Xenopus tropicalis: one gene and its partner. Each later gene encodes a partner of the first gene's protein in a complex. Links are inferred from orthologs where the notes say so. Each region holds a gene or a part of one and is shown on either strand. Other genes may lie near its edges.

The links.
Region 2: snrpd3 (region 1) and sf3b5 share a complex: the UniProt entries of both Homo sapiens proteins name them as parts of the minor spliceosome. The link is inferred for Xenopus tropicalis from reciprocal best matches to the Homo sapiens genes SNRPD3 and SF3B5.

What each region holds. Positions count from the first base shown.
Region 1 is NC_030677.2:152,605,379-152,609,138, forward strand, and holds the start of snrpd3 (small nuclear ribonucleoprotein Sm D3), read left to right. Parts: upstream 1-1,275; 5' UTR 1,276-1,298; coding exon 1,299-1,424; intron 1,425-3,760. UniProt on the Homo sapiens protein: Plays a role in pre-mRNA splicing as a core component of the spliceosomal U1, U2, U4 and U5 small nuclear ribonucleoproteins (snRNPs), the building blocks of the spliceosome.
Region 2 is NC_030681.2:58,017,754-58,019,890, reverse strand, and holds sf3b5 (splicing factor 3B subunit 5), read right to left. Parts: upstream 1,174-2,137; 5' UTR 1,172-1,173; coding exon 911-1,171; 3' UTR 596-910; downstream 1-595. UniProt on the Homo sapiens protein: Component of the 17S U2 SnRNP complex of the spliceosome, a large ribonucleoprotein complex that removes introns from transcribed pre-mRNAs.

The DNA of each region.
Region 1 (3,760 bases):
ACATTTTACAGCAGTGAGCAGGGGTACATTTTTGTGCACAGATGCCATTTTGTCCATTTTACTTAATGTTGCATGTGCTTTCTGGCAGTTCAGAAACAATGCATTCAGCAGATATATAAACAAAATAAGCCTGATCATTCTGGGCCCATACATATGCCAGCGGTCTGCCAATTCAGTTAATAAAGTCAGAATCAGCACCTATTAAAAGCGCAGACTAAAAGAAACAGTCTGATCAGGTGCGGACTGGAAATGGGGCCTTGGCATTTAATTATACGCGGATACCCAAATAGCCCCCTATCACCCCAATAAATAGTGTCTGTGACATCTTACAGCAGCCCTTCTGGCATTTATCACAATCCACAGATTGCACGTCTGAGTCTAATTGGAGGTTTCAGCTCAAGATATTTAATAATAATTCATAATATATAATATGAAAAGTTGCAGTGCAACTAGCCGCTCTTAAATGGTGTGAATAGATAAATGGGTTGATGAGCGGAACTAAGTCACTCATATCTGTTTCCCACCGGAAGTTGTTTGCTTGTGCAGTCGCCGGGAAAAGGGGGCAGAGAGATACGACAGCCTGTTTCCTTTCGCTGTGCATTGTGGGGCAGGCGGGACGCCATTAGAACGCAGAACAGAGCCACGCTAGTAAGTATTACCCAAAGCAAACAAAAGTTCGGTAAAAAGTCTGCGCTTTGCAGGATTGTCAGAGAGGCCCGGGGGTTGCAGCGTGCGGATATCTGGGCGGGGTGTGCGTCTCGGTTACTCGGCGCTTGTTCGCTTTCCCTTAGGTCTGTGCGGTTGGCAGCTTTGTATGAGTGTGAGCAGGGCTTCCCTCTAAATATTGCCTTATGGTGAGGTTATATACAGGGTGCCGGGCCCAACGCATCTCACTGTGTTACCAGTCCGTTATCCGTTTCTATAAATATTCCTGCCTTAGGCCGGGGGCACTGAAACGTTTGTGTAGGCCTCAGTGCCAGTATCCCAGGGAACTCATTCATTGAGGGTTACTCCTCTGCTTCTGCGGGTTGTGCTGCTGCGATGTCCTAACGTGCATGTGTTTCTGAAGGGCTGGGCATGTTTGTGTGCATATGTATGGCTGAATTTATAGACTGTAAGTGATTAAAGCTTTAGGCTGGATAAACATTATGTAATAAGGATTTTTATTTGAATATACCTTATAGTTTGCACATGGCTGCATTGTATGCAGTAACCTGCGTTGCGCTTTGTATGTTCTCCACGTTTTTTTGCTAATTTTTATTTCTCCAATTGCAGGTTAATCTCCATTAGCTCTCAATATGTCTATCGGTGTACCAATTAAAGTCCTTCATGAGGCAGAAGGCCACATTGTGACATGTGAAACTAACACCGGAGAGGTATACAGGGGGAAATTGATTGAAGCAGAGGATAACATGAACTGCCAAGTAAGTAAAATAAGCAAGTCATTCGTATTATATCTATAGCAAGTGCACCTAAACTTATAAATATTTACCTTATGCCATGTTTGTAAGTACGTTGGTGATTGCAGTATAAACTCTAGTGATAGACCTTATGGACCAACAATTGTAAAGGCTGTGTTAAACTAAAAATGTGTGTGTGAATTGTTAGGGGCAAAGTATTTTCCAAAAGGCACCTATTTATTCCCTATATAGTGCCTCGGTTACCCTATCCATTGCAAAAGAAGCAGTTATATTGTGGTCAGAAGCGTAAATAGCTTAAAGGAGACATGGAAAAATAGGGGAAAAAAAAACCTAATTTTGTAGACAATTATGAACAATATATGCTGCGGGTTTCATTTGGGCTAAAAAATACTCATCTGTAAATATGGCCTCTTTATTGGAGCTCCCTGTAGATCCTATCAGTTCTCTGTCCCTGTTTAAAATGAAGGGTGGGCGTGTCCTAACGGTCCCTGCCAGAAGCACAGTAGGAGGGGGGAAGGCAATCACAGCCCAGCACTCACACAAGCAGAGACAGGCTTCAGTTCCCTATCAGGTCATCCTAGCTGCTGATTGGTTCCTATCCAGCCAGCAGGAAGTGGAACAGATGGGCGGGACTATTAGGGTTTTGGTGGAATTTCTCAATAAAACAGTCCAAAAAACAATTTTTTTTAAACCACAGTCCTTCTATATCTAGAGGAGTATAATTTACTGGTACATTCTTAATTTTTATACAATGTCTCCTTTAATCCTAATCTATTTCAATTTCCTAGCTGTGTCTCTAGATGTCAGTATATTCACAGTAAAGCTCAGTGATAAGGAGCAGAAGTAAAATATGTAAATGCTGTTGTTGCTATGCACTTTTAAACTGTTAGTTACAGGAGCCTAGTTAGTGGGGTGTGGCTACACCCGTATTGCATTCCTGTTGTGTAATTTAAAAAATATTTAGGGTGACAATTTCCTTTTGCTCTTTTTACTAAGCACTCTTCTGTTGTTCATGTATAAACTTCTCTTTTAACATGGAGAAAAGTCTCCTTTATCTACCCACAGAAGCCAAACGGTAACATATTTTGGTGTTCCTATTCTTTTAAACTATGTAAGTGTTTCAAAGTAATCAAAATACGATGTAGTGTTACCCTGCACTGGTAGAACTGGTGTTTGCTTCAGTAACACACAGCAGCTTGGATGGCTGCCCCCACTGATACTACTATAGTTCATATAAATAAGCTGCTGTGTATCAGTGGGGGCAGCCATCCAAGCTGGGATAAACTGAGTAAGGGCTCTGGCACACGGGGGAGATTAGTCGCCCGCGATTAACTCCCTGTTCGCGGGCGACTAATCTCCCCGAGTTGCCTACCCCTGCCATCCCACCGGCGAACATGTAAGTCGCCGGCGGGATGGCAGACGCGGCGGGGCGATTTCCGGAAATCACCGAAAAAGACTTGCGAGTCTTTTTCGGCGATTTGCGCGAAATCGCGCCGCCACGTCTGCCATCCCGCCGGCGACTTACATGTTCGCCGGTGGGATGGCAGGGGTAGGCAACTCGGGGAGATTAGTCGCCCGCGAACAGGGAGTTAATCGCGGGCGACTAATCTCCCCCGTGTGCCAGAGCCCTAAAGGTGCTGGTTACATAAGCTGTATTGTATTTTACAGAGCTTATCTTTTTGTCACCTGTGCCATTCAGCCCTCTTTGTTTGAATAGCTGCCCCCATGCAGCTTTATTTCTATAGACCAGGGTTTCCCAACCTTTTGTACCTGTGAGCCACATTTAAATGTAAAAAGAGTTTGGGAGCAAATGAAGCATAAAAAATTCTTTTGGGTTGCCAAATAAGGGCTGTTATTGGCTATTTGGTAGCCCTTATGGGGACTGGAAGCCTACAGGATTGTGCTGGCAATACAGCTGGTTTTTATGCAACAGAAACTTGCCTCCTTACCAGAAATTACAAAAAATAAGCACCTGCTTAAAGTCCACTGGGAGCCACTGGTTGGGCATTACTGGTATAGACTATAGCAGTGTTTCTAAAGCATTTTAACGCAGCTGTATATTACCTTGTACAATAAATAGGTTGTTTTTGGCTATTTTAATTAAAAGGGTCCTCCAGCCAAAAACTGTTTTTGTAATGAAAAAATTTAATTCTACGCAACTTGGATATACATTAAAGGAAATTTAAAACTGCAAAGACTGGTCTTCTAAACATTCTTCTACTGTGTATGAATGTTCTTGGTGCTGTCTCCCAGGAAAAGAACATGGTTTTGGCTATTCTTTGAGCTAAACAAGGGGGAGACATGAGTGTGAAGTCAAACACGATCCCGTTAAAGCTTTA
Region 2 (2,137 bases), on another chromosome or scaffold:
GTCTTCCAGTCACAGTTTTAAATGTAGGGTATTTAAGTGGTGGTTTACCATTAAATTAACTTTTAGTATGGTATTAAATGCCCTATTCCCAGCAACTTTGCAATTGATTTTCATATTTTTTTTTTTTTTAAATTACATGCTTTTCTCTTCTGCCTCTTTCCGTCTTTAAAATGGGGTCACTAACACTGCCAGACAAAAACCATTGATCTGTGTGGCAATGGTTGGTTTTTTTTCCCCTGTCTATGCAGGCTTTCTCCTATTCATATTCCAGTTCAAACCACTGCCTAGGGTAAATAATAGCAACCAGATAGATGTAAGAATATGAAAACTGAAAGCAACTCAACAAAAAGCTATATAAAAAAAAACAATTATGAAGCCTAATTGCAACTGACCCTAGGGTTGCTGGCTACTAAAAGCACCCTGACTACGTTTACCTTTTCCAGTTTTTTTTTTTTTTTTGGGTGGGGGGGGGGATGGGCAGCTAGATTCTCTTCAAGAACACCAAACATAGCACCCTGACAATAACATTTTACATACTTATTAATCTAATAAGTGAACCACAGTGAACAATTAAAAAACTAACAAGGGTATGTTGTACAAGGATTCAACAAGAGTTGATTGTTTTATTACAAGTGATAAGCAGTTGAAAGAAAAGCCTAGATTAGTCGTACAAGGATTTCGAAGAGACTTCAGGCAAATGCACAAACGTCCTCAAAGTACTTTATCACGGACTCCTGGAATTCAGAAACTCCATTTAGAATTAGCACAGTCCTGCTTTATGATACACGCCTGTTGATTAGGCGGGAATCTCTTGCTTAAGTCCCGGAAACTTTAAGACGAACGGCGATAAGTTTGATCGACTCCAAGAACTCCATAACAGGCAGCCTCAGAGAAGAAACCATCGCCACGCTTAAGAGTCGTCGGGCTTATCAGCTGGGGGCCCACACGGCTGCAGCATCTTCTCCATCAGGTTAAAACGTACCCGTGCTTTACTTTCGTTCTCAGCCACGGCAAAGTAATTGAGCAGATCAAAGTGGCCCATGTAGGAGCAGTAAGAGTCTCTGTGCTGGTTCACCAGCCACTCCCACTTAGTAGTATCCGCATGGCCCGTGCCGATATACTTGGACTGCAGATGCTCCAGTTGGCTGTGAATAGTATATCGGTCTGTCATGGCGATGGCAAGCGCTAACAGCAAGCTCACTGTACACGACTTGGTGTTATGATATGCAGCGGTAGCGCCTTTGGCTTCCGGAGGACAAAAGAAGTCAGCGTGTTACAGCAGCCGGAAGTTACGTTGCTTCCGGGAGTGACCAATATATCGACGCCGACTAAAATAAATAAAGTTTCGTAATTTTGTAGTGTTTTGCTCATTTTCGCTTCAGCGATTGGCCCGCCTATTTCAAGCGAAATCGAAACTCCCTGCATGCTCAGTTGTGGGACACAGGGAGAGAACAGGCGGAAAGCTGTATGGAAAAATATAAAGTGGTTGCAGTTGGGTCAATTCTATAGGAATAAACCATTTTTTGAATAGTAACCTCCGCAACATGTTAACACATGAAACAATACCCAGCGGCATATAGATTACTCGCCTTCCAACCTTTACCTTTAAAGTGATAATATCCGTGATTTTAGCACACAGTCTTGCGATTTATTAAAGTTATATAAAGGCAAGGGTTCAATGTCCCCTCTAATTTCTTCTCAGTTATGTACACAAAAAATATTTTGTGCGCACAGTTTTTAATTTTTTGCATTCAGCATGTGTTTGTAAATGCATACATTAAAGTGATGTTAGAGCCCTAAGGGAGCAACTAAGACACTACCCATTTTAGACATGTAAACTTTGGCAGTATAAGGGCATTTCTGGCACATAATAACTTGGAGAGGCTTTTCACAGGGTTAAACACCGAAGGGTTAAATTGACCTATCAGTATATTCCTCTTGTAACAAGCAAAGATCTATTAAAGAAAAATTATTTTTGCTTGAAAGAAAAAGTTAGAACTGAAGTAGGTAATAAATGTGCTTTAAAGTAATTCAAGCTTGTTGAATCATTTTAGGTCTGTTACACATGGGGGAAATTTGTGCGTTTGATCAAAGTAAGTTGTGCCTGCGTAAGGCAGCATTCTTCATTGCATGAACT